Saccharomyces cerevisiae S288C: one gene and its partners. The gene in region 1 interacts genetically with each later gene. Each region holds a gene or a part of one and is shown on either strand. Other genes may lie near its edges. The genes, in order: THP2, RPA14, SET3 and UBP3.

Region 1 (3,164 bases):
TGCTTATTATACCGTTGTAGATAGTTGACAGAAGTGACTTCGCCCAGAGGAACATTAATGTGTCTTGTGTAACTGACATCATGGTCGGACTTTTTCTGTTCTGGGTGAGTTATAGGTCTTAGGGTTTCTAGCCATTGTTCATTGTCAGCCGCTCTTGGTGCATTATCAGGAACTTTCGTCGAATATACTCTTGGTAAAAATCTTTCAAGCCGTAATTCTCTTTTGAAAACGCTAGACCAAGCTATCGACATATCTAGATGCTCTGGCCGAGGACTGATTCTTGATGATATTCTCAGTACGTACACATCCTATTAAACGCTAAATAAACCAGCATGTTTTTTCCTTCAGTACTATTTCGGGGAAGTGAAAATAATAGATAGAACAAATAAAATATTAAAAAGCTCTTTAAAAAATAATACAATTTTTCTCTTTCTTCCCTCCCACTCAACAAGTATGTATAACTCTATCTAACTTGTGCAGGCTGGTTAAATAAAATGTGCTTATTCTAAAACTATGTCACCTTCTTTATCTACAGGATAGCTTTCCGATGGAGCATTTATTTCAGACTTTAATGAATCTATCTTCTGGATCATTTTTTTCATAGAATGTGCATCATCACCGAACATAAGCATTTCTATATCGTCCCATTCTTTTCGCCAATGGTTTAGTTCCTTTGTCAAAGTAGAGAGTCTTTCCTTTAAGGAATACTTATTCTCTAAACCAAATTTGGCACGTGCCATTTTGATCTGATCTAGATAGTTCTTGATTTGAGCGTCTACACCACGTATATCAGTATCAGGCGCACAGTACTGCTCGAGAATACCCTGAAGTTTCTCAGATGGAACCCATTTATCCATTTCATACACTGTCACTGATGGATCAGACACTTCCACCTGCTTTGCTAAATCAACAGAAAGTCGCTTCAGTAAATTTATGTACCTTAAAGTATCCCTATTCAAATGTTCGAAAGTAGAATAGTACTCGCTAATACTCTTAGGATTCTGTACTCCCGCTGCAACGTCCCTTCCAGTTTTTGTATCCTCCAAAAGCTGTGCTTCTCTTGTTTGATATTTATCGTATCGCAGGCGGATGGAACTATTTATCAGCTCCCTGTGTAAATCAGGCAACTTCTTGAGGGATTCAGTAAGCAGATCATCAGATGATCTAGGGTCTGCCAATACTGATAATATATCTAAAATATTTAATAAGTGGGTTTGGCTTTCCTGCAAACTTTGTTCCTCCTCGCAGAGAGATTCAAAATACGTACGACCTTCTTCCTTTGTCATGCTATGAACTTGATAACTTGAGCAGTGTAAACCTGATAAACTAGTCGCTGTTGTTTCTTACTGTAAGATACTGCACTTCTGCAGCTTCTTAAGTATTCTACTTACCAAGTTTCTATTATTTTTCAATGCGCGTACATAAAAAGCACTTCGGGTAAAACAAACACTTCATAATAGCAGACCAAGTACTGCGGTACTCACATCAAATTAAGAGGAAGAAGGGAGTATTAGCGAGCGGAAAACTGAAATCTGGATATATACTGATCAGAATCAGATTGTGAAGCATTTAGAACCATGAATGACGACAGCCAGGATAAAATAATACATGATATACGTATTCAGCTACGAAAGGCTGCCACAGAATTATCACGATGGAAGCTATACGGCTCCTCAAAGTGGGCAGCAGAGGCGCTAGCAGGTCTTGCAGAAGCTATTGATGTTGATCAAACACACTCTTTAGCCGATGAATCGCCACTAAGAAATAAACAAGGTGTACCGAAACAGATGTTTGAAATACCACAAAACGGGTTTGGCCTATCAGAGACTGAGTATGACCTGTACCTCCTTGGTTCTACGTTGTTTGATGCTAAAGAGTTTGATCGATGCGTTTTTTTTCTAAAAGATGTCACTAATCCATACCTTAAGTTCTTAAAATTATACAGTAAATTTCTATCGTGGGATAAGAAAAGCCAGGAAAGTATGGAAAATATCTTAACTACAGGGAAGTTTACGGACGAAATGTACAGAGCTAACAAAGATGGGGATGGTAGTGGGAATGAGGATATAAATCAAAGTGGGCACCAACGCGCCAATTTAAAAATGGTCAGCAATGAGCATGAGTCACAATCGAACATATCATCTATTTTGAAGGAAATTAACACATTTCTGGAGTCTTATGAAATAAAGATAGACGATGATGAGGCCGATTTAGGGTTAGCACTGTTGTATTATTTACGAGGGGTCATCTTAAAGCAAGAGAAGAATATTTCTAAGGCAATGTCGTCATTCTTGAAATCTCTGAGTTGCTACTCCTTTAACTGGTCCTGCTGGCTGGAGTTAATGGACTGTTTACAAAAGGTTGACGATGCATTGCTTTTAAATAATTATCTATATCAAAATTTCCAATTCAAATTTTCTGAAAATCTTGGTAGTCAACGAACGATAGAATTTAATATAATGATCAAATTTTTCAAGCTAAAAGTGTTTGAGGAGCTTAATGGCCAGTTAGAGGACTACTTTGAAGATTTAGAGTTTTTGTTACAAGTTTTCCCCAATTTCACTTTTTTAAAGGCTTACAATGCTACTATTAGTTACAACAATTTGGATTATGTTACCGCAGAAAGCCGATTTGATGACATCGTTAAACAAGATCCGTACCGTCTCAACGATTTGGAAACCTACTCCAATATTCTATACGTCATGCAGAAGAATTCAAAATTAGCCTATTTGGCGCAATTCGTCTCCCAAATAGATAGATTTAGACCGGAAACATGTTGTATCATAGCGAACTATTACAGTGCCCGACAGGAACATGAAAAATCTATCATGTATTTCCGTCGAGCACTAACTTTGGATAAAAAAACAACAAACGCATGGACTTTGATGGGTCACGAATTTGTTGAACTAAGCAATTCACATGCCGCAATAGAATGCTATCGTCGGGCCGTAGATATATGCCCTCGAGACTTCAAAGCATGGTTTGGTTTGGGCCAGGCTTATGCTCTCCTGGACATGCATTTATATTCTCTTTACTACTTCCAGAAAGCTTGCACTTTGAAACCTTGGGATCGTCGGATTTGGCAAGTATTGGGAGAATGTTATAGTAAGACGGGAAATAAGGTAGAAGCTATAAAATGCTACAAAAGATCCATAAAAGCTTCA
Region 2 (7,201 bases), on another chromosome or scaffold:
GGTGATTTGCCAACAACAGAATGAAACGTTGACCAACGGAACCAGTAGCACCCAAAACACCAGCAATTTTCTTTCCAGCCATTTTAGAACGCTTTATTTCTACAATTTAATTTGTATGTGTACTTAAGTGAAAACAAGAAAAACAAGATTTAATTTTATACTCGAAAGTGAATGAACAAATAAATATGGTTCTTTTATTTATTTTTTCTGCTTTTCTATTTTTCTCTAACATTTTGAACTGGTAGTAGTCAGAGGAAAATGAGTCAATCAATGCTTGACAACATGATTTGGAAAAAAAAAAAGTGTGAAAAAAAAGAAAACCGGGTACTTTGAGGCCGCTGCCGGTGATATTTGGATCTGGAAAGAAAGAGAAAAAAAAGCACTGAAGACGTTCAGATGTCAGAATTCTAACTGATATGCATATATTGTAGTATACAGAAGGCGTATGTGAATGGATATGTAGGATTTTGTGTAAAAGGGCAAGGCTGCTGCTACAGGTCTCACTCATCGGCGAATGTAGTTTTCTTGCCGCCGGTGGCACTAACACCTATGCTTGTCTCCTTCTTCTCCGTCGTGGAGACCTGAATGGGCGCGGCGGAAAAGTCTTGGGCGGGTGGCAGACCCTTGAAGTCTCTCTGAATCCTCTTTAATTGCGATATGGAGCTGGAAAGGTTGGTGTCGATGTTGAGGCTGGTGTTAGCCACAGCGGCAGCGTCCGCGTCAGCGGCGTTGCCGCTGATGGTATTCATGGTAGTACTATCAATAATGTTCTCCTTCTCATCGATAAAGCTCTCCAGAAATTGAAGAACCTCGTCAGTAGAGACATGTTGGGGCAGCTGCGTGGCATGAATGACCACAGGCGTGTTTAGCGTGGTAGCAGTGTTATTACCTGTTCTTCTAGAACCTTTCATCATCTTGTATTATCGAAATCTTACCTCAGACGTCTCCAGTTCTGCTCTGCCTTACCGATGAGACCTCTATAATCAATGTGATTTAAACATATGCATCATCTTGAAGTAAGCTCGAAATGAAAAATTTTACACCCGCAATATGCTTACCCGTCGCTGTTAGATGTTACCCGCCTTTCGCCCCTTAGGGGTTTCCACCGCCCCCCTCGTCCTCTACGGTATTTTCTGGGGCGCCCAGCCCGCCACGTCCCGCCTCGTCTCGAATTTCTTCCTCTGCTAGACGGGCTTCCACGCGCTTCCACTCATTTCTGTCTCTGGTAATGGCCGTGGCCCTTCTCACTTTGGTTGGGCTTACGCTGACAAGTGTCTGTTCGATTCCCTGTATAAATATAAACGTATTCTCTTGAGCCTTCTATCCTTTTGCCACTGTCGTCATCATTTGTTCCTCCTTTTTCGCTAGATAGGTTATATTAAGATTTGTCTTGAATTTAATATCTCAACTCAATCCAAACTCAACCGCTAATACTACCATGTCCCAAGTCTATTTTGATGTCGAAGCTGATGGCCAACCAATTGGCCGTGTCGTTTTCAAGTTGTACAACGACATAGTCCCAAAGACTGCAGAAAACTTCAGAGCTCTATGTACCGGTGAAAAGGGATTCGGCTACGCTGGCTCTCCATTCCACAGAGTTATTCCAGACTTCATGTTGCAAGGTGGTGACTTCACTGCTGGTAACGGTACCGGCGGTAAGTCTATCTACGGTGGCAAATTCCCAGATGAAAACTTCAAGAAGCACCACGACAGACCAGGTTTGTTGTCCATGGCCAACGCCGGTCCAAACACCAACGGTTCTCAATTCTTCATCACCACCGTTCCATGCCCATGGTTGGACGGTAAGCATGTTGTCTTTGGTGAAGTTGTTGACGGTTACGACATCGTTAAGAAGGTTGAGTCCTTGGGTTCTCCTTCCGGTGCCACCAAGGCTAGAATTGTTGTTGCCAAGTCCGGTGAATTATAACCGCTCTGCCTGGAACAATACAGCAAAAATTGAAACGAACTATTCTCTCTTAAATTATATGTATATGTATAAGGTATGTGTATGTATGACAATCAATTCTTATAACTAACTCTTCCTACCTATATCGGAGTATGTTGCCAGGCTTGCCAACTAGCCAACTACCGCCTAGGTTATGCCTGTTAAGTTGACGCCGCCGGGTACCGCCCCCTGTTTTTCCCACGTTTCTTTCTTTCCTCTAGGTAACGGATTTTCGGCTTATTTTCCACAGCGAGAAAATTTTCTTTCTCCTGCACTTTTTTTCATATTCAGGTCCTTTGATCCATTCATTCATTCTTGTTTTAATTTCAATCTAGATTTTAGTTTTCGGTTGAATTTATCTTTAGTTTTTTATCAATAAGAATTGGTCTAGCTTATCTTTCCAGGCTGCTTATAGTTTACTTTTTTTAAAAAATTATATTTCTATCCAATATACAAATCGGAAGGGAAATTCATATACACAAATTAAACGTTCCAATTGCATAAATACCAACACCATACAAAATGGACTCATTATCAAAAAAGATTCAAAATTTAGGTATCCATGATATTAGAAATGCCGCAAGGTTTGCCCAAAACGTGATAGTCCAATATGAGCCTTATCAGATAGATATCCGTCGTGCTACAAATACCGATGCTTGGGGCCCCACACCGAAGCACCTCGCCAAGGTTTTAAGGAACAGATACCAAGTGCCGCTCTACTTGATGACAGAATACACGTTGAAAAGATTAGTCGACCATATCGCTACCAGGCCCAAGAACCTATACGAAAAGGCAAGAAAGGACTACGTTAATTATGGGTCCGAATGGAGGGTGGTCTTAAAATGTCTAGTAGTCATTGAATTCCTATTATTGAACGTCGACACAGGTGACGAACTGAATCAGATTAGATCATGTTTGCTCACTCATAAGCATATTTTAACCAGGGAGATTGCCCAATTCAAGGTAAAATTCTCCAATGATGGTAAAATGGAGATTCATGAGAGAGGTATTAGGAAAAAGGGAGAACTTATCTTGCAATACTTGGAAGACTCACAATTTTTGAAAAAGGAAAGAGCCAAGAATAAGAAGAATGCCTTGAAAATTCGACAGCAAGGAGAATCCTCCATTTATAATGCCAACCAGATTTCAACGTCTGCAAGTTACGATAACATCGACGACGATGAATTTGATGCAGATGCAGATGGCTTTGACAGTGAAATGGATGCTAATAATGTGACCAACTTCAATGTTCCTGTGGAAACAGAAGCAAATTCGAATACTCGCAGGCGTTCTCATATGGAAGAACAAAGAAGACAAAGAAGGGAGATATTAAGAGAGCAGATCAAAAATAAAGAACAGCAGAGGAAAAGAAAGCAACAACAAGATAGCATCCCTGACTTAATCGATCTTGACGATAGTACTAGCACCACGAATAATATAACAATAGACAATGGTAATAATGACAACAAAAACAATAATATCAACAGCAATAGTGATGATGATGATGATGAGTTTGGCGACTTCCAAAGCGAAACGAGTCCCGACACAACAGCACCTAAAACTTCCAATAGTAAAATAGATGATTTGCTTGACTGGGATGGCCCAAAGTCAGACACAGATACCACCGCTGCTGCGCAAACATCATTGCCCTTTGCGGAGAAAAAACAGCAAAAAGCCCGTCCTCAGGCTACAAAGGACAAGTCGAAGGGAAATGATGCATTTTCCGACTTATTCTCTTACTCCAAGTCGTTGGTCTAATCACCAAATACCCCTTCATCTCCCAATACATTCAATACAGTCAACAAATTTTCATTCTCAGATATATGTATCCATATATACACTAATAATATCTTACTAAAAACTTGTCTATTTCCTTCTTCAAATGTCAGTTTTCTTTTTATTGAATATCAAAAAAATATTATATAGATACATTTGTATATGTCATTATCCATGCAGAAGAAAATACTTAAATACTTAAGTACACAAGTATTTATTGATTTGCTATTTCGGTCTTGGCAAGTCCCTTGGCTACGTCATCTACACTCGCGTCATCCTCTTCCATATACTCGTCGCCTGTGCCCACCACGCCTTGTTCAAACATTTGCTTACCGGTTAGCTTCCCATGATGAGCCTTCATCCTTCTCACCTGGTCTCTTTCATCCAGTTTCAGTTCTTGGCGAAATTTAGACCTCCATTCCAAGTACGATTCTCTTGTGACTTTAGTACCATGGAACTTGGCCTGTTCCTTCTTTTCACGTTCTTGTGCTTCCAGCTCGTACTGCTTCTCGAGCTTATTCAATTGTTCACTATACCATTGCTCACATCTTTCTTTTATGGATGAAATCAATGCAAAACACATTTGCATACCCAATAACATATCGGTTTCGATTTGCGATTCTAATTGTACGGTTAATTCAGGCAAGTACCCCTTAAAGCTTATTAAATCTGGCAGGTTTTCAAACTTTTTCAGTACTTTATTACCATGGTCGTCATATTCAACCTCGTCTTCATCTTCCTCGTTATCTTCTTCGTTGTCATTGAGGGCTACTTCTTGAGCTTCCAATGAAATCAGGCATGGTTCGTCAGGGTAGTTTTCTGGTAACTTGAATTCGGCGATTATAGTGTGCTCTTTGGTTAAAACAGAAGTAGAATCACCTGTATCCAGCTCTAATTTAATGGCTACTTCAAATTTAATCTTTGGGTATTCATCGTTTATGATCCTCAGTTCATCAGGATAAATGGACTCTAAAACTTCTAGTTCCTGCTTCTGTTCTTCCTTATAATCCATAGTATTAACAAGTGCCTTCTGGATATGGAGGGAGGGCTTTTCCTTAAATTATACCAACCGACAGCATGGGAAACTCAGCTCTTTAAAGCCAATCTAACGATGCCTGCTGATTTTACAATTGGAAAATAGAAAATTTTCATTTTCCACCTTCTGTTACCCGAGTTTATAGACCTAGGATTTCCAATCATTACTTATTAGGACATTCGGGAAAAATATACATATATGGCCCACTTCTCTCACATCTCTTTTAGGGTCTGTGCCAATGGCACCCAAATTTTTCTTCTTTCTTTTTCGCTCGTATTCTCTCACGCTCTTGATCAGTGTGAGCAGTTACTAATATACTGGATCAGAGAACATTAACTCAAAGGTTGATAGTGTAGATCATTGGACATAGTGTGACGGTTTTGCACTCTTGTTGCGCTTGCTCTCTTAACAAGTCACATCTTATTTAGCCTCTTCACCCATAAGTTGATTGTAAAGCCGTAGAACCCTATATCACAGTCTCTTCGGCAACTCAACCAATAAGAACTATTAAGGATTAACACTAGCCATGATGCCGAATGTTGCTCCAAACAGCTACTATTTAAACATACCGAATGCCAATTCGACCTCAACGACTACGTCCTCGATCTTTTCTGATCTCAACAAGGAGTACGAGTCAAAGATTAAAGAAATCGAAGAATATTATATAAAGACACTGCTCAATGAAAATACCGATAATGATGACAGCAGCAGCTCCGAGGGGCATAATATAAATGAAACGGACATTTTAAGTGAATACTCACCAAGGCCTTCTCCTTGGTTACCATCCAAACCAAACTGTTATCATCCGTTGGGAGATTTTAAAGACTTGATCATATCAGATTCCAGACCTACAAATACATTACCTATTAATAACCCTTTCGCAGGCAATAATAACATCTCAACACTTGCTACAACTGAGAAAAAACGTAAGAAAAGGTCACTCGAAGTTGAGATTAACCCTACTTACACGACAAGTGCATTTTCATTACCCCTGACAGCGGAGAATTTACAAAAACTATCTCAGGTGGATTCTCAGTCTACTGGACTTCCATACACACTTCCAATTCAGAAAACAACAAAACTGGAACCTTGTAGAAGGGCACCTTTGCAGCTTCCTCAATTAGTCAATAAGACCTTATACAAAACTGAGCTCTGTGAATCTTTTACTATTAAAGGCTATTGTAAGTATGGAAATAAATGCCAATTTGCTCATGGTCTTAATGAACTGAAATTCAAGAAAAAATCAAACAATTATAGAACTAAACCTTGCATAAATTGGTCGAAGTTAGGCTACTGTCCGTACGGTAAGCGTTGCTGTTTCAAACACGGTGATGATAAGGACGTTGAAATATATCAAAATGCTAACGATGGAAGAAGTAAGGATACGGCGTTGACTCCACTTCCTACTTCCCTAGCCCCAAGCAACAACGATAATATCACTAATTTGAGTAAGCCTAGGAACTTACATACTAGTGTTAAAGCATTGCAAAGGATGACTTGGTAGTCGGTCAACAACAAAGCCCTTTGAATATTTGGCGTATTTCTGCTGCCTCTCCTTATTTATTTATTCATTATCGTTTTCATATTTATTTCAGTCACAAAACAAAATTAAAGAATTCGTGACCTACTAACATGAGAATTAGTTAATTTAATCTTTTTAGTTTATTTATTTCATTAGGTAGAATTTTTTTTTCTTTCTCTGATCTTTCAGTGTTACTCATCGGTGGCAAACGTGTTTACAGGACTAAAAATCGAAATAATGATTATTATTGTTCTTAATTTACTTAGAGTTATTTAGTTTTTTTAACTATCGTAAATTGCCAAATGATCGGCTTTGTGGTACTCTATGTCTTAGAGACCTTGTAGATACGGACCTTCTCGATGCGCTAAGTCTTTTACTGGAGCTCTTTGTATTTTCGCCGGGCAATGGGAAAATCTTTCCTGAATACATATTATCTGTTGGATCATCAGCGATGTCCTCTAAACTTATCCCTTGCATGTTCCTTTGAAGTAAATAACGTAATGAATTATACCAAATATTGTGTCTTTGCCTTGTAGGACAAGTAAACTTAATAGTCCTAGTTTCTGTGGTAACAACAATACTTTTGTGATACAATCCTGTTGGATATGGGTTTGGGTCTGTGACACTTTCTACTCCTAGAATGGCAACACCTTTTGTTTTGGTATTGGCAGGATTCTCTAGGATGGGATTAGAAGCGGACCAGTACAAAGTTAAGGTATATGGATGAACCCAGAAGAATCTTTCATGACGTGATTCGAATCCAAAAGGTCCCAAGCGTGGATAATACTTAAACAAATATTCCCCAATGACGGTTTGGGTTAACGCGGGTATTATGCTTGGTTCGTTCAATGATGCTAAAGTTTGTAAAGATGCCGTCCTACTGGCAGATCCTGCACGTGACATAAATGATGCTACTATATCT
Region 3 (9,025 bases), on another chromosome or scaffold:
TGCATTTATTGGTGGTACAGATTTATGTTATGGTAGATATGATACTTTTGAACACGTTCTACGAGATGATGCAGAATCTTTATTAGATCAAAATTTTCCTGGTAAGGATTATTCAAATGCCAGAATTGCTGATTTTCATGATTTAGATAAACCATTCGAATCAATGTATGATAGAAAAGTCATTCCGAGGATGCCATGGCATGATGTGCAAATGATGACTTTGGGTGAGCCAGCAAGAGACTTAGCCCGACATTTTGTTCAAAGATGGAATTACTTATTGAGAGCTAAGAGACCTAGTAGGTTAACTCCATTACTAACCCCGCCTTCAGATTTAACTGCTGAAGAATTGAAGAGTTTGCCGATGTTCGAAATTCTACGCGAAAAATCGACTTGTGAAACTCAAATACTTAGAAGTGCTGGGAACTGGTCTCTTGGGCTAAAGGAAACGGAATGCTCAATTCAAAATGCTTACCTGAAGTTAATTGAACAAAGTGAACACTTTATTTATATTGAGAATCAATTCTTCATTACATCAACTGTCTGGAACGGGACTTGCGTTTTGAATAAAATTGGTGATGCTCTCGTTGATAGGATAGTCAAAGCTAATCAGGAGAAAAAACCTTGGAAAGCCTTTATTCTTATCCCACTAATGCCAGGATTCGATTCTCCAGTAGATACTGCAGAAGCCTCAAGTCTTCGTTTAATTATGCAATTCCAATATCAATCAATTTCAAGAGGTGAACATTCTACATTTAGTAAACTGAAGAAACTAAATATTGACCCAGCTCAATATATTCAGTTCTTTTCACTAAGAAAATGGTCGACTTTTGCGCCTAATGAAAGATTAATCACCGAGCAGCTCTACGTTCATGCTAAAATTCTGATTGCTGATGACAGAAGATGTATTATAGGGTCTGCTAATATTAACGAAAGATCACAACTGGGTAATAGAGATAGTGAGGTGGCAATTCTTATTAGAGACACCGACTTGATAAAGACCAAAATGAATGGTGACGATTACTACGCGGGAAAATTTCCTTGGGAATTAAGGCAGCGATTAATGAGGGAACATTTAGGTTGTGATGTAGATCTTGTTGAGTTTGTTGAAAAGAAATTTGAAAGGTTTGAAAAGTTTGCTGCAAAGAATTATGAAAAACTTCATACCCTAAGTAAGGAGGGAGATAGTGGTAACAATTGGAGCGATCGAGAAATGATCGATTCCGCTATGATTGAGCTAGGTTATCGTGAAATATTTGGTTGTAAATTTAGCCCTCAATGGAAGAGTGGTCATGGAAACAGTGTTGATGATGGAAGCACTCAGTGTGGCATAAATGAAAAAGAAGTGGGAAGAGAAGATGAAAACGTTTATGAAAAATTCTTCAATTCTGTGGACTACGGTAAATCATCACGTAAGAGAACGCCTCTGCCCAAACATAATTTTGCATCTTTAGGGCTAACATTCAACCACAGGGCAGGAATTGAAAATGTCGGTATACGAGACCACAAAGTCTTAAGTACTGATCCAAGATTAAGAAAGAATGATGAACATAAAAAAGAGGTTGATGGCTACGGTCCCGATTGTTGGAAAAAGGAATCCAACAAAAAATTCAAGGCCGATGCAACTGAACAGCTAAAGGAGTGGGCATTGAACTCATTGGCCTCGAAAGTTCTTGACGATAAAGAAATGATAAAATCAGAAATTCCAGAAGGATTTTCAAATTATTTGCCCAATGAGAAAGATCTAGAAATGTATCTCACGGATAAAACTGTTACCAATAGAAACAAATGGAGTATGCTCAAAAGGATATGCTACTTGCAATATTTATCTCATAAACTCGACGAAAGAAAAACACAGAGATTGAAGAAAATCAAAGATATGAGAAGACATTTAAGTTCAAGCACAGAAAGTACCAGAAATGGGTCTAATAGTCTGCCATTAAACGAAAAGAGCAATGAAGGAGAAAGCACTAATGTCGACCAAGATATCGAAGGCGATGAATATCATAGATTGCACGAAGATATTTTGAAAAATCAAGAACTAGATGATGGTTCACTGGACGATCTACTTTCTCAGATAATTCCTAAGATCACTAACTTTAACAGTGGTGAAATTGATGACGCAAAAAAAGAAGAGTTATTGAAACTCAACTTCATTGACCCGTATTCCTTCGAGGATCCTCTTATTTCTTCGTTTTCTGAAGGGCTATGGTTCACTATAGCCTTGAGAAATACATTACTCTATAAATTAGTGTTTCATTGTCAACCCGATAATGCTGTACAAAATTGGAAAGAATATGGAGAATTTACTGAATTAGAACAAGAATTTCAAATAAACCAGGAAAAGTTGATTGACTTAGAGGCTGAAAATATTAATTCTACTACTACAAATGTTGTAGATAAGGATAGGGAAAAGGAAAAAATGAGAAAAGCCGCTGAATTGAGAATGAAGTTATCCGGTAGTTTGCTTTATGGATTCAATCAAAAGGTTTTTGACAAACATACGGCGCAGAGAATCTTGGAAAGGATCCACGGTCATTTGGTCATTTTCCCAACCGAATGGTTAGCTAAAGAAGTTGAGAGTAGAAATTGGATTTTTAACTCGGATAGACTTTCTCCAATGGAAATCTACAATTAAGGGAATATAAAAACGACCAGGAACACACCATTACCTGTATTTTCCTTTTATCTGTTATAAGCATTCGACGCTGATACATAAACAGTTTTCATTATGCATTCTTTTGGTCCATAGTGTCATTATTGCTCTTATTACTCATTGCATTTTTATACTTCAAATATATATAATAATAATATCATTATGTAATTTATGTGCTTTATCTTAAAGAACCAAATTTTTTCTATTTCCGTGTTCAATTGCTTAATAATTGTAAAAGCTTAATTTCTTGGATAAGTCGATGCCAAATAAACTGATTAAATAGATTATCGATAATCCTAATGTTGGTAAAAGTATAAAGTTCAAATTTTTCAAGAATGGCAACTGGTTGTATCCATAAAAGGTTAAAATAAAGTAATGGCCAATAGCAAAACAATATAACGAATTACCAATGAGTAAGGAAATCCAGTTTTGTAAATTAATTATGGGCAGTAGTAAAAACTGAATGAAGTATAGGCACAGTAGGATGATTAAAAATGAATTACAATGAACGTCGAAACAATAAGCCCACTCTACCACACTATTTTGGCTCGATTTGAATTTAAAATGTGACCTATTCAACAAAAGGTAAAAAATAGTTGCCATAATAAATCCAAATATGAAAAAATCTAAAATCACCATCATTACCAAACTTTTGAAAAAATGACCTATAATGCTCAAGGCCCCCATATCACTGTCGTTGTTGAAACCTGAATTATAAATCGACCAAATAATAGAACTGAGTGAAATTAAGGCTATTTGGAAGATGAAAAAGGAAGGATCATCTCTCGCCCACTGATTTTTCGTCTGTCGCTGATAATATATTGATCTATAAGCTTTTCTTGGATGGAAAATCAAATGGAACATTTCCCAGCTGGCTGTCTCGAGATCTAAATTCTTTGGCGTTTTGAAAAGCCTCCTGATTACCATCGGCACAGATTGCTGACCGTAGCCTTGTCTTGCATCGTTTTCATTACCATTATTACGCCTCCTCTGGCCTTGCGGGCCTGCTGGCAAGTCGTTGGAATAAGTCGGCAAATATGACATTGATAAATCCGTTGACTAAGTAGTGGCAATCGAAAAATTATAGTGCAAATCTGTTTCTTTCTGGCTTTTTGCAGTTATTTCAACAAAATTTAAACCTGTTAAGTTTAATATTCTAGTAAGGTCTATTGGTAATTATTTAACCGTTGGAAGTGATCGTTGTATGAAATTATCATTCTAGATTACAGGTAGTCGATACCTTTTATTATAATACTTTTATAGCATGGTATATTATTCGTAAAAAAACATTAAAGACATGAAACTAGTCCTTTGTTTCCCTGGAAATTGTTCAACCAACTCATTCATCTTACTATGTCATGATAGATGCATATCATTATCAACGACATGCTATATACAGAAAGTAGTAATAAAGGACCTTTCTAGTAAACATGATTTAAAGCGTATATACAACAGTTTTAGATCGTACTTCACAAAATACGAGAACTGAATCATGTCAGTACCTAATTCCAAAGAGCAGTCGCTCCTAGATGATGCATCCACATTGTTATTGTTTTCAAAAGGGAAAAAAAGAGCTGAAGAAGCTTCAAAAATAGGCTCTAAAACAGATACTATTGAGCATGATGAGTCTCATGAGAGAGAAAAAAAAGGAGCAATAGAAATGGCAGCAGCAGCACTGGCTACAGCATCCACAGTTTCTTTACCTTTAAAGAAAGCTACTGAGCAATCGGCGGCAGAAGCAGCAACATCCACGGCAGCAAAAGAAGAGACCGAAAATCAACCTCAAAAGCAACCTCAATGGCCGGTACCTGATTCGTATATAGTCGATCCTGACGCGGGTATAATTACATGTATATGTGATTTAAATGATGATGATGGATTCACTATCCAATGTGACCACTGCAACAGATGGCAGCATGCTATTTGCTATGGCATCAAAGATATTGGGATGGCACCTGATGATTACCTTTGCAACTCATGTGATCCAAGAGAGGTAGACATTAACTTGGCTAGGAAAATACAGCAGGAACGCATAAACGTAAAAACAGTAGAACCTTCTTCATCAAACAATAGTGCTAGTAATAAGAATAACGGTCGGGACAGAGCATCGAGTACAACTATTAGTGACGTTGGCGATAGCTTTTCAACGGATCAGGACAATACTAACCACAGGGACAAAAGAAGGAAAAGAAACCCATCAAATAATAGTATAGACTCCAAAAACGAAAGCGCTTCTGTCAATTCTTCCGATGGATTGACTTCTATGCCCAAGAAAAAAGAGCATTTCCTGAGTGCAAAAGACGCATATGGTGCAATATACTTGCCCTTGAAAGACAATGTGTTTAAAAGTGATCTGATCGAACCGTTCTTAAATAAACATATGGATGATAATTGGGTCATACAATATCCTCATAAGACCTTTAAATCTGTGTCAATTGAAGTCAAACCGTATGCTGACATTGCATATTCCAGGACTTACCCAGGCTTCACGAAATTAGGAGTTTATCTCAAAAAGGACTGCATAAAAGGTGATTTCATTCAAGAAATTTTAGGCGAATTGGACTTCTATAAAAATTATCTCACTGACCCACGAAACCATTACAGGATATGGGGTACAGCTAAAAGAAGGGTCATTTTCCATTCCCATTGGCCGATATATATAGATGCACGCTTATCAGGCAATTCAACTAGGTATTTGAGAAGAAGTTGCCAGCCGAATGTTGAATTAGTAACTATAAAACTGCAAGATACAGACAATAGGAATGACAAAAGCAGTGGAAGAAAATCAAGTAGAATAAAATTTGTTTTAAGAGCTTTGAGAGATATTTCAGAGGATGAGGAGTTATACATCAAATGGCAGTGGGATTCAAAACATCCTATATTAAAATTAATAAAGGGCATGACAATAGACTCTTTAGATGACCTTGAAAGGTATGGGCTGATAAATTCGGTAGAAACAATTTTGAGTAACGGCGAATGCGGCTGTGGAAATAATTCTAAAGATTGTTATTTATTGAAAGTGAAGAGATACGCGCAAAGTCTTTATAAATCTGTGAAATCCAGAGGAAAAATGAACAACAGATATAAATTAAATGAAATTCTCAACCAATATAATTGCAAAAAGAGACGTGAGCCACCAATTTTGCATAGGCTAGAAGAAAAGGCTCAAAATACTATAGAAAGAGCTCCAATACTTTTGAATAATTTTTATCGACAAAAATTCCTTAATCGAAATAATGGTCCAAAAATTCCTCAAAAGAATACTATTGATAGTACAAATAATCCTGATGATATTGCAAAACCCTTCAAATTCGCCTTATTTGCACAACATTCTTCTAATATTTCTGTTCCCAAAAAAAATGAAACTTCAGAAAAACCTTTAATAATTACGAAGAGCACAGATTATGACGAATCACACATTACCAATATTGAAGAATTACCAATTCCAGTTCTTTTACCAATAAACAAGACGTCAAGGCAAACTGCAAACGATGTCGAAGAGAGTCAATCAAAGAATGAACATAAATTAAGTAGAACCCCTTCTCTTTCAAATTTCAATAAAGAACTGTCAAAGGAAGCACAACACAGTCAAGCAAAAACAAAAGAAATCATGACAGAAGCTTCGGTTAATTCAAGGCGAGAATCCACTCCAGAAAGTATAATGCACTTATCAGATTTTTCGTCCTCACAACTGCATTCGAAAAAGAAATTAAGCTTTGCGGATTACAGAAAAAAACTACTGAAATAAACATGGACATTTCCTTCTTACACCTATATAAACTTAAGTATATTCAAAAGTGAATATTCATTATTCTTTATAAGATTATATTCGGTTAATATTAAATTACAAGCCTCAATTAAAAAAGTATATATTTGATGAATTATAAATGACCTATATGCGAAAAAAGTGGAGCAATAAAAAATTGATGAATAAAGGGTGAAAATGTGACAATGTGAATGTTTTAGTTCAGAAAGCTTCTTTACTTCTTGACCTATATAATGAGTAGCCCTCCTCATTGCCCATATCATTCTCTTCATCTTCATCTTCGGAGTCTTCTTCATCGCTTGATATCTCGTTATCCATTCGATCATCAACACTGGTGCCTAGTGCCACTTCTTCGTCTTCGCCATTATTATCCAATGCGGATAAAGAATTGAAAAGAATAGTCTTCGGTCTTGGTGGTGTTTTCGGGGTAGTATACAATGGATTACCAGGTCTGGCATATGACTGGCCATCATCATTAGGATCCATATAGTCATCGTCATCGCCAACACCTTCAAAGTCAAACTGATGGTGAAAAATATTCTGGTCTTGCAGTTTAGGATCTGAAGGTTGTGACCTACTAGGAAAATGGTCTGGAGGGAACAATGAAGTACCCGATGTCCATTTGTCACTCCCGTTTTCATCATTGTCCTCATTATAGAGACTATTGCCATCCCTATGTTCAGATATTTTATCGGTAAACTCTGATTCGGCACTTTTGGATTTACCATCATCACTATCATAATCATCGTCGTTAGTCTCGACGTTATTATAGTAATTTTTATTATCCACATCACTATACTCTGCGTAATCTTCTTCATTTTCTTCATTCTCGTTATTATTGAAGTTATAATATAAATCCATGTTCCCAGAATCATGCCCGTTACTAAGAAGTTCATCGTTTTCTCCATTTCCGTAGTTTTCGTTGCCCTCTGTATCACCAATTATATCCTCAGAATCAGAATTCCTAATAACATCGTCATCGCTTTCTTGGTCATTGCCAAAATCTCCCAAAACGGTGTTATACTTCTCTCTTGTATCAGCCAAGATCGTTTCACTATATTCTTTCCAAAATGGTTCCTCAAGTCGATCTGAAACAGCGGTATTGCAAAAAGTTAGCTTCATTTCATCAATATACTCTTTGAACTTCGATATTTCTTCGGCAACTAATGTCAAATGACCCATATAACCATAACGTAAACCGGTCTTTTTTTCATAGTCTTGACATGCCTTATCCGCATCTACTATCTTTTTAGTTAGGTATGCATCAACCAAATAATCTTTCAAGAGGAACCTATTATAACCAGTTTTGAGGGGACCATTGAATATTTGCTGGGCAATATCAAAAATTACATTATGCAAAAAATTATTCCAAGGGAACTCAGTGAACATATCAAGGATACTAATCAGTATCTTAGTGTCTTCTAGAGCAATCTTCAGCCTGTCTCCAACTAGCGGTTTTTCCCTTAGGCATTCTCTCACGGATTCTGTGTCAGACAAGGTTTCATCATACAACTCTACTCCAGAAGCATCATTTTCTAGCCCCTCAACTACCTTTGCGTCTGATTTCACATCTAGTTTTACACTTGATACCCCAGTATCATTTAATTCATCTTCTTCACTTCCTTGATTATTTATTTGAAGAGCGCCTAAATTTTCTGTGATATCCTTCTCTACGCAATCCTTATCATAATATGATGATTTATTGTCCACAATAGCTGTTATATTTTCCTTTTCGGTTGAAGTTTCTAATTCTTTGGCCCTTTCTATATCACGTTCTTGGGCAATCATCTCACCATTGGGCTCATTTAGCAGCGTCATATTAGAACAGTGCAATAGTTCTGCAATAAGTTCACAGATTTTAAACCTCTCAAATCCCAGAGGTTCAATATTACCGAATGGCATTTCCATTAGTGGCAACTTGGTTTTATCCAGCATATCAGCAAAATCAGGCATATGCTTAGCAAAAAGTTTGACTAAATGTATCAAGTGAATTGGATCTCGATCAGTGGGAGGGTGACTTTCTAGGGTAGTGTAGACTAGTTGGATGAAATCATAATCTGAGTTATTCTTCCTGATCAACTCTATGATAATTCCAACACCATTACTTAAGGATGTACCGCCCTTTAGCATTATCTTAATCAACTTTTCTATCATTTCTTCTGATACTAATTGCCTTGTCAATTCATTAGGACCTATTCCCGAAGCAAGTTCATTGCTTGAGTTAGTGCTTAACGTGACGAATGCCTTAATAAAATCGCCTGCCGCAGACTGAGTGGAAATACCGTATTCTGGATTAAGATGATCTAAAAGTTTAGGTATTAATTCCTGTGATTTTAGTATCTTTATGACACCCGTGGGAGAGTCAGGTTTATCCGTCGAGATAACTTTCAAAAGGAAGTCCATCAAAGACGGATTGTCAACATGTGTCAAGAACCTTGCAACCAAGCTGTCTCGGCTTAATATAAACTCTAACATCCCCGTTATATCCATATCGAGAAGTCTTTCATTTATTTTCATGAAGTAGGTGGAAGCTGGTATCGGTAAGGGAGCTGGGTGATCTAGTATCGACCACAATCTACCAAGAAGATCCTTATTTTGCATTATTG
Region 4 (9,552 bases), on another chromosome or scaffold:
GTTGTTTTCCTTCGTAAGCTGGTCTATCCCTGTAGTGTTAATGGATTCAAGGATCCTCAGCATCATTTCATACCAATCCGCAGACTTCGGCTGCAGCTTCAGCAACTCATTGAGTGTGGGATTTAGATCATCAGAGTTCAAGTGCTCTTTTTGAACGTAGTATAGGGCGAACTCAGACACTAGCTTTTTGTCAAGGTCTATTTCTGACTCGTCATTTTTACTTCTATACAGAAGATAGTCAAAATAGTCAATGGAAGTGTATGGTCTACTATTGTGATGCGGATGTGACGGATTTTGGGAGAGAAGGTACTGTTTCAATTCATCGTATTTCAATGGATACTCTTCGTATCGTTCTGCACTAAAAAGCAAAGGGTTCGCTCTTCTCGAGAGCTCTAGATCAAATTTATGCATATGAAACGTGATATCCACCGTTATTCTCCCTCTCGAACACAGGACTTCGATAGTATCTTTTGTAATCTGTTCAGCTCAACTATTTGTTACCATACCATCATCATCACTTTACACATACTCATCATGTGTTTATTGACGCGAGCGCGACTTGCAAGAAAAGGCATAATTGTGGCGAGGTAATGAAAAATTTTTGACGTTTCCCTCATTCATTCATACATAACATTTTGGGATTTTGGAACAAGGCGAGAGGAGAACGTCTTTGGACCACTGTAATAGTACACAATGCAAGATATTTTAAGTTTATGCTAAAAATCCAGAAGTGACGCTTCATCAACGGTGTCAATATGGACCGAATTTTAGTGTATCTTCAATTGTAACCGTGAGGAGTAGACTCTTTGAATACGGGGGAAGAAGAAATATCATATTCAAAGCTAATTCATTGAAATTAGTGCTTGTCTCATCTAGCCTTTAGTGCTTAATCTCTGGAGGAGCACATATGGGGTTAAAGCCATGCCGGGACTGGGGGCCCCTATCGGGGCTCGAACCCGAATCCCGCGAGTATTTATTTGAAGGTCCGGGACGCAAGTTACCTAATCTGGTTAATTGATATCCCATTTAGGCGATGACGTTCCTTCCCCTCACCCCTCGGCTTGTTAGAAGATCTATTGTTATAGCCTCCTCTGGAAGAATTTATGCCAGATGAAGAAAAAAACTTCTCGAAGTTCCCAGATGCCCAAATGAGGGCTTTCCATCCCTGTTAGCTGGAAAAGTGTAAGTATATCTATATAAAAAGTCGGCCTACTTTTGCCAGGTTCGTCTTTCACTTGCACTCTCTTGATCTTACTTTCTACTCAAAAAGAATCCAATACACAAAAATAAAATCAGTACTATTACTAATAATGTTGTCTAACGCTAAGCTCCTTCTATCATTGGCCATGGCCTCTACGGCTCTCGGATTGGTATCTAATTCTAGTTCCTCTGTAATCGTGGTACCATCAAGCGATGCTACTATTGCCGGTAACGATACAGCCACGCCAGCACCAGAGCCATCATCCGCCGCTCCAATATTCTACAACTCGACTGCTACTGCAACACAGTACGAAGTTGTCAGTGAATTCACTACTTACTGCCCAGAACCAACGACTTTCGTAACGAATGGCGCTACATTCACTGTTACTGCCCCAACTACGTTAACAATTACCAACTGTCCTTGCACTATCGAGAAGCCTACTTCAGAAACATCGGTTTCTTCTACACATGATGTGGAGACAAATTCTAATGCTGCTAACGCAAGAGCAATCCCAGGAGCCCTAGGTTTGGCTGGTGCAGTTATGATGCTTTTATGATCGAATAGTCTTTAACTAGAGACTTATTTTAAACAGGACATGTGTTTTTTACTAATATTGTATTCTTCGATGTAGTCGTTATAGTTCTTTTTCTTCAAATCATTTAAATAAAGAAACTATTTTTTCTTTTTGTGTGTAGAATAATAAATGTAATTCTAGTTCTTCCTTTTTTTTTTTGGCTTTTTCACAGCTCATCTTTTTTACCCATTTGGTCATGATTATGTTGTTTGCCGTTGTGCAATAGGGAGTTTGTAAATCCTGAGATAAAGTATGGTGCTTCGAGGTTAGCACTTAATTGGCGTAAGCTGCTTAATGACAAAACCCTCCTTGGGCTTGGCGTATACGAAATATGCTCCTGCGAAGCGCAGTGGCAATATTGAGCACTATGTTAACGATAACGTGTTGGACTCATCGTCTGTGCACATATGATTGAAATCGGGAATCCTCTGCTTTTTTTAGGTAAAATCAAACTTTGGCTAAATTTGGATGATTACTTAAAGTAAGAAATGAATCTTAAGAGATGTATGAGTTTTGTGATAATTGTTGTGATTCCATTGTTGCCAAAGGCCATAATATTTTGAAATTCACATTCCTTCTACAAGGTATTTGTTTCTTAAATGTTCATCTCCAAGAAATAATTGGTTTCGTGGTCTAGTCGGTTATGGCATCTGCTTAACACGCAGAACGTCCCCAGTTCGATCCTGGGCGAAATCATTTTTTAAATATGCCAAGCATAAAGTGTAACTCTGTTTCTCTGTCTGTCTCTATTTCTTTTTTAAAATCGTGCTCACTATCGTATTGTATTGTATTGTATTGTATTATTGCTATATTATTTTTTATGTATTTTGTCTATAATACCACCCCCCGTCTTAATTTCTCTTTTGATACATTAAAATATAGGCAGTCCTCGAATCAGAAGCTTCTTCGCCACCTTTCAAAACGTCATCGTCCTCTAGTTCGGTAATATTTACATCATCTATTCTATACCATTTGTTGTGCTCGCTATGATAAACATCCGCTGTGTAATGACCGCCATCGGAACTTACCCCATGATGGTATATAACTCCGGTTAGCTTATATCTTCTATCATCAATCCCTGAGGTGTTGTTTTTCAATGTTATGGAAGACATTGATTCTTCAGGTATGATTAACTCGTGACCATATTTAATTTTTTTCCTGATCTTCTCAATACGTCCATTGTACGCGTTATAGTTCGTCATTGCGTTGTCTTTGTTCACATTATTTATGAATGAGAATCTTTTGAATTGGATTAAAAGAACTTGCGGCAATTTATCAATAAAAGTCTGCTTCTTGGCCTCGACATCATTCCCTGACGAGGACTTAAAGGGTAGCAATTCGTATTCACTAAATTTTTTGAATGCAGTTTCTAGATCATTCACACCAGCATCTGAAATGTCCAATTGAATTGTTTGGAACGGATCGAGTGTAATCGATTGAGATTCCTTATTGTTCGGTATATCTAACACAGATCTGAACTGGCCACCGAAAAGTTTGGAGATTGGTGATGGAACAATCTCGACAGTCCTCTTGGCAGCGGTCTTAGTTTTCTTGCCTCTTTTGCTAGATCCGCTCACTTCATGCCAACCATTTTCTTCGGTAGAGTCATCATTGATCACGCCATATTTTTCTATCAACTCCTTCAGTCTAGGACTAGCATTTTTGATAAACTCTGCTTTTCCATAACGTGACAAATTTCTAATAAAGAAAACTTTCAATTGTTCATCATTAATACTTTGCAGCATATTTTGAATTTCATTATCGGTTAAGCCATCAATTGCAGAAATTAATTCCTCGTGTAATTGGTCCAATAAGTGGGTCAAAAATTCTTCTGCGTCTTCCTGATGGCCCCATTGCAAGTCTTTGAACTTCGGTATAGTAGACAAAGTTTTGTAAAATTCGTCAGGTTTGACAGCATCGGCAGTGGCGCAGTGTTGGAAACTCTTGGATTTTGATGATTTTTTTGCATCACTTTCCGTGGTTTTTTCAGCATCATCAGCATTCTCTAGGAATTTTTTCTCATAGGTTTCCTTATCGAATTGCTTATACATAGTCAAACAAGCATCTAATAATTTACAGGATGATGTGCCGACTCTTGAATTGGTATTCCGTGTACTGAGAACGTTAATTACATCAATAAATGGCTTACAGTAGAGTAACACTTGTAACACAGAACTCATAAAACAAATGTTGGCTCTGTTAATTATGCCTCTTGGAATAATGGAATGGACTGGTATTTTGTTTTCAACATCTTTATTCCGTAAAACGTAACTAATGAAATCGGGATCAAAACACATTCTTAACGCAATCGAACCCAGTGGCTCAATACCCTTTGTAGAAGGTGGAACGTATTTTTTATCCTTTTTCTGAGGCTGCTTGGACAACAGGGGAGAGCTGGATTTACCTATAGTCGCCGCAGCCATGTTTGTTGATGAAACGCCTGCGGTCGTACCAGAAATTGGTGTTTTAGTGACCATCGATCCGGAGACTGTTTTGTTACTAGCTTGTCTACTTTTAATCGCATCTGATGCTATGGCGGACCAGGATTTTGCTGCTGGAGGAGATGGTGAAGGTGAAGATGTCTTGGAAGTATTTTCTTCAACAGATTCCTCTGGTTCCTTCTTATCCACTACAGGTAAAACAGTAGCTTGAGGTTCCTGTATAACTTTTTCGTTACGGTCTTGCTTAGCATCCTCTTTCTTTACTTCAGTTTTCTTTTTAAGCTCGTGCGCATCTTTGCTCGCATGTGGTTTTTTATCATGAGCATCTTCTTCTTCCCCATGTGTTTCTGTCTTTACTTCCTCATTATGCTTTGGTATACTATGGCTTTTTGTGTGATGATGGGCAGAGCTCTTTTCTACAGATGAGTTCTCTAAGCTTTCAGAGTTTAGGTTCAAAGCCTTCATGTTTAATTCGTACCTTTGGACACTTGCCGCAGCAAATTCTGCTTCCGTAGTGTTTATGAACAGTGGCAATTGAATCAAGTTTGATGAATTTTCCTTGAGATTCTTTAATTTAGTGACATCAAACTTGTATAAATCATACTGTGAAGAAGAGTTGTAGGAAGAGTACGATGGTGAAGTAGCCGAAGAACCGTTGCCGTTGGAAGAGTTGGTCTGTTTTTTCATGCCCGCATTGCTGCCACTGTTTGGAGAGGCCATCATGGGGATATGATTGTTAGAGTAATTGTGATGGTAGGTGTGGGATTTGTTGTAGCTCATGCCGCTACCGCTAGAGTTGGCGCCTTGATTACCGCTGCTTCCATTGTTATTGGTAATGCCATTAGAGTGCCACTTCTTCTTGTTAATGTTGTTGTTATTGGTAGTGCTTCCGCCGTTAATATTGTTTTGCGGAGGCAAGTGATGTGGGCTGCCACTTTGATGGTAGATTGGCTGGTTTTGGTTGACCATATTAAACGAATAGGCAGGTATTTGTGTGGGGTATAGATATGGGGCCTGAGTGTAGCCGTACATCTGCAAAGGCGCTTGATAAATAGGAATCTGCATATTGGTTGGCGTAGGTGGTGGTGGAGAAGAGGTTTTCGGGTACATCGAGTACGACTCTTCTTTGTTAGCGTCTTGCATGTTCATTTTTTTTAATGATGATGGAAAGGAAAGCGGTACCTGGATGATGGTAGCAGACGAGTCTGACTTACTATTAAAATGACTTTCTTCTCTAGAAACACTTCTCTTCCCTTTCGCTTTTTCGCTGCTTGTTTGTTTTATCACATTATATTTTTTTCCTTCTTTTTCTTTTTCTTCCTTGCCTTTGCCCGTAGAAAAATTACCCTCTTATTACCGTTCACCTATATACGTATTCCTTCTACATAGTTATGTTATTGGTGATCGCATGAGATTTGCAAACAGCACCAAACAGCTCAATGCCCCTGTCGATATCATCAACTTCTAAGAAACTAATAGAAAGCCTAAAGCATGACTGACCCCAGTTTTTCTCATCGCCGATGACCTCGAAATTGGAGCCGTCGGCAAGGATGACATTAAATTTCTTGGCAAGAATAGTGGATATCTCCATGGCATTGTACGCTGGTGGGAGAGTGATCCAAGTAAAATAGCCGCCCTTCAATGGCATAATCTCGGTTCCTAGGGGCATGTATTTCTTAAGCGCCGAGGTCAAGACAGTGGCCCTCTCGGAGTATACGGATCTCAGATGTGCAATGCATCTCTGGGCGGCACCACTACGCAGCATCTCACCCACGATCATGGAGTTCAGTTGTGAGGGAGTTCCGCCAGAGACGTTTGCACCACCTTTAGATAGCTGTCTGGCGAGATTCGCGTTGATTGACTCATGGTATCCAAATCTGAGCCCAGGGGCGATCAGCTTGGAGAAAGTTGCGTTGGACACTGTATTCCCGAACGAGTCCTCACCGGAGGGCGCTGTACTTCTGTCTATGTGCACCATCCTTAGGGGCGGAGAGGGCAGCTCATCTGAGGGCGTCGTGTAATCTAGAATATCGTACACGTCATCAGTGATTATCAGCATGTCGTACTTCCGAGCGATGTCGATAAGTCTGCGTCTGGTCTCAAGCGAGTATGTGTTTCCCGATGGGTTTGCAAACGTCGGGATGCAGTACATAACGTACCTGTAGACCTTCTTGGTCAACTTTGGCCCCTGAATCATCTCTGTGGTACTATGGGGCTGCGGCTCCGCCTCGTGCTGCTCAAGGGCAGAAATCAACGACTCGAAATCAATCGAGTCGTGGCCCTGCTCGTTGATGGCGGTCATTTTCCCCTTGAATCCCGCATCTGTGAAGCAATTGTTGATCAAGAAATATGTTGGCGTGATGATGAACGCCTGCCTGGTATACCCGTTATGTGGCAAGGTTGTTTGCAGAAGGATGTTCAGCATGCCATACGAAGCGCCGCTATTCAGATTCAAATAGTCTGCCCGTGTCCTGCTCCGAGCCCCATTTTCGAACTTAAACAGCTGATCATTCAGAAACGTACAAATCTGCTCTCGCACCCACAGGGCACCTTCGTCCGAACCGTACGTCAGCGGATGCCTGTTATAGGGGTCGTTATCGTACTCCCTGGTCTCGGGCCCCAATATAGCCGCAGTCGCTTGAATTACTGCTTCTCGAGGCAGCAACCTCGAGCTCGGATGGCCCTTGAAGAAATTGATTTCCTTGTATTTCATTACCGCTTGCTAGCACGCGTTGTTCCTTGTTACAGCGATGCTCCACCCAGATTTATGTGTTGATTTCAAATCCTCTTCTCTTTATCACTAGTTCGGCATCCAGCAGCGGCAGCCCGCGATAACTTTGACGGAACTCCGCCAGCACACGTCGCGCCTGCGCTGGGCCGGGAACATGCCAAAGGACACCAGCCAGTAGTAGCGGTAGTGACCATTCGTTCTTTATCACTAGGGGCTGTCGTCCAAACAACGCCAGGGCAGCTGCTTGCTCATCTTGCTGCATCAATGCTATGCCCATAGCCTTGGTCATTTGCGGGAAGTCGCGCAGCCTTAATGGCGGCTGCCCTGGTAGCGTATCCATCTCCTGCAAGAATACCTTCCACTTTTCCCTGAGCGCCGTGGAGTGCATTGTGCCACGCGCAAACGCTTCGACTTTAATCCGTCTAAGCTCATACTCAATCAGTTCATCTTCTGGGCTGGTGCGACGATCGCGATTCATCGCCTGGTAGTGCTGGAGGAACTGCGCGGGTAAGAAGAGCCTGTCCTGGTACAATGCTACGCCAGCCATTTCACATAGCAGGCGGCCCTCTACTGGCAACCGGCGTGGCATCACATGCTGATACCACATGTATGCTATAGTGTCGGCATGGGCAAGCGCAGCGGCTCGCGCTAGCATCGTGTGCAGCAGCTCCACATCCACGCTGGTCTGCTGCTGCTGACGCAGCAGCGCCAGTGCATCGGACATTTTCCCGTTTAAACTGCTTAACAGTATTCGCGACCGCACATCGGTGGTCACCAGTCTTTTCGTGATAGTCAACATGACGTGTTCCGTTCTTATGTTCGAGCTAATGCCTCGTCTGCTCTTCCACGTTCAGATGTTCCCTTGATTGCTCAAAACACTCTCAGCAGGCCGAGATTTCGATTTTAGCCAGCAGTACGGAAGTAATCCGAGCCATGAAAAATTTAACCAGTGGCTCGCCCTCTATACGTATCTGTTCACGTACAAGCGGAGCCACAGAATAACCTCCCCGACGATGTTCAAACTCACCTCTCGACTCGTCACGTCAAGGTTTGCTGCCTCTTCCAGACTGGCCACCGCTCGAACCATAGTATTGCCCCGGCCCCATCCGTCATGGATCTCTTTTCAGGCCAAAAGATTTAATTCGACGGGCCCAAATGCCAACGATGTCTCGGAAATCCAAACCCAGTTGCCTTCCATCGATGAATTAACCTCTTCAGCTCCTTCTCTTTCCGCTTCTACTTCGGACCTTATCGCTAACACGACCCAAACAGTGGGCGAGTTGTCCTCCCATATAGGGTACTTAAATAGCATTGGCCTGGCCCAAACCTGGTACTGGCCCTCGGACATTATCCAACACGTCTTGGAGGCCGTTCATGTTTACTCTGGGTTGCCTTGGTGGGGAACTATCGCGGCCACCACCATCCTCATTCGATGCCTGATGTTTCCCCTCTATGTCAAGTCCTCTGATACTGTTGCTAGAAATTCCCATATCAAGCCCGAGCTGGACGCCTTGAATAATAAGCTAATGTCCACTACAGATTTGCAACAAGGTCAGCTAGTCGCCATGCAAAGGAAAAAACTGCTCTCCTCGCACGGCATTAAGAACAGATGGCTGGCCGCACCCATGCTACAAATTCCAATCGCCCTTGGGTTTTTCAACGCATTGAGACACATGGCTAACTACCCAGTAGATGGGTTCGCTAATCAAGGTGTCGCTTGGTTTACAGACTTGACTCAAGCAGACCCTTACTTAGGTTTGCAAGTAATCACTGCCGCTGTGTTCATCTCATTTACAAGGCTGGGGGGTGAGACTGGTGCTCAACAATTCAGTTCTCCCATGAAGCGTCTTTTCACTATTCTACCGATCATTTCTATACCGGCCACAATGAACTTATCGTCCGCTGTGGTCCTCTACTTTGCCTTTAATGGTGCCTTCTCCGTCCTACAGACAATGATTTTGAGAAACAAATGGGTTCGTTCGAAACTGAAGATAACAGAAGTAGCTAAACCAAGGACTCCTATCGCTGGCGCTTCCCCCACAGAGAACATGGGCATCTTCCAATCATTAAAACATAACATTCAAAAGGCAAGAGATCAGGCGGAAAGAAGGCAATTGATGCAAGATAATGAGAAGAAGTTACAAGAAAGCTTCAAGGAGAAGAGGCAGAATTCCAAAATCAAAATTGTTCACAAATCAAACTTCATTAATAACAAAAAATGAATAAAGGCTCTATATCTCTCTGTAAATATAAAAATATAAAACTCAAACCCTCGATAGGCGGGACCAAATTTTTTCTCTCTCAGCAGTGGATTGTATACATTTACCACGAAAATTGTTTATTGCTTGAAATAATCATTTGGATTCTTAATAAAATCTTGCAGGATTGTCTGAACTGCACCTAATCTGGACCCCATGCTGTTGGCTAAGTCTTCTTGGTTTATAAAACTCATGGAAAATACAATAGCCAAGTTTGATGCGTCCATTTTATTATTTACAACATGCTGATGTACTTTATTCAAATGAAATACAATTCTTTTCAAAGTTTGGTAATAGCATGTAGGTAACTTTTGGAGTAACTCATTCATCATTCTCTTGTATTCTTC

Evidence for each region.
Region 2: mutations in THP2 (region 1) and RPA14 together harm fitness more than expected from each alone (negative genetic interaction), as found in Saccharomyces cerevisiae (6 studies listed by BioGRID).
Region 3: mutations in THP2 (region 1) and SET3 together harm fitness more than expected from each alone (negative genetic interaction), as found in Saccharomyces cerevisiae (7 studies listed by BioGRID, with this or other methods).
Region 4: mutations in THP2 (region 1) and UBP3 together harm fitness more than expected from each alone (negative genetic interaction), as found in Saccharomyces cerevisiae (5 studies listed by BioGRID).

What each region holds. Positions count from the first base shown.
Region 1 is NC_001140.6:437,464-440,627, reverse strand, and holds THP2 (Thp2p), read right to left. Parts: upstream 1,287-3,164; coding exon 501-1,286; downstream 1-500. Other genes in the region: putative GTPase MTG2, read right to left, coding at 1-251; anaphase promoting complex subunit CDC23, read left to right, coding at 1,578-3,164. UniProt on the Saccharomyces cerevisiae protein: Component the THO subcomplex of the TREX complex, which operates in coupling transcription elongation to mRNA export. The THO complex is recruited to transcribed genes and moves along the gene with the elongating polymerase during transcription.
Region 2 is NC_001136.10:763,238-770,438, reverse strand, and holds RPA14 (DNA-directed RNA polymerase I subunit RPA14), read right to left. Parts: upstream 915-7,201; coding exon 501-914; downstream 1-500. Other genes in the region: HOM2 (aspartate-semialdehyde dehydrogenase), read right to left, coding at 1-82; YDR157W (uncharacterized protein), read right to left, coding at 107-508; peptidylprolyl isomerase CPR1, read left to right, coding at 1,439-1,927; ENT5 (Ent5p), read left to right, coding at 2,468-3,703; GIR2 (Gir2p), read right to left, coding at 3,936-4,733; putative mRNA-binding protein CTH1, read left to right, coding at 5,284-6,261; NUM1 (Num1p), read right to left, coding at 6,565-7,201. UniProt on the Saccharomyces cerevisiae protein: DNA-dependent RNA polymerases catalyze the transcription of DNA into RNA using the four ribonucleoside triphosphates as substrates. Component of RNA polymerase I (Pol I) which synthesizes ribosomal RNA precursors.
Region 3 is NC_001143.9:494,954-503,978, reverse strand, and holds SET3 (histone-binding protein SET3), read left to right. Parts: upstream 1-4,145; coding exon 4,146-6,401; downstream 6,402-9,025. Other genes in the region: SPO14 (phospholipase D), read left to right, coding at 1-2,635; GMH1 (Gmh1p), read right to left, coding at 2,876-3,697; SAP190 (Sap190p), read right to left, coding at 6,621-9,025.
Region 4 is NC_001137.3:467,060-476,611, forward strand, and holds UBP3 (mRNA-binding ubiquitin-specific protease UBP3), read right to left. Parts: upstream 5,366-9,552; coding exon 2,627-5,365; downstream 1-2,626. Other genes in the region: PEA2 (Pea2p), read right to left, coding at 1-411; SPI1 (Spi1p), read left to right, coding at 1,311-1,757; YER152C (2-aminoadipate transaminase), read right to left, coding at 5,598-6,929; PET122 (Pet122p), read right to left, coding at 6,982-7,746; membrane insertase OXA1, read left to right, coding at 7,961-9,169; GTPase-activating protein BEM2, read right to left, coding at 9,286-9,552. UniProt on the Saccharomyces cerevisiae protein: Has an ATP-independent isopeptidase activity, cleaving at the C-terminus of the ubiquitin moiety in natural or engineered linear fusion proteins, irrespective of their size or the presence of an N-terminal extension to ubiquitin.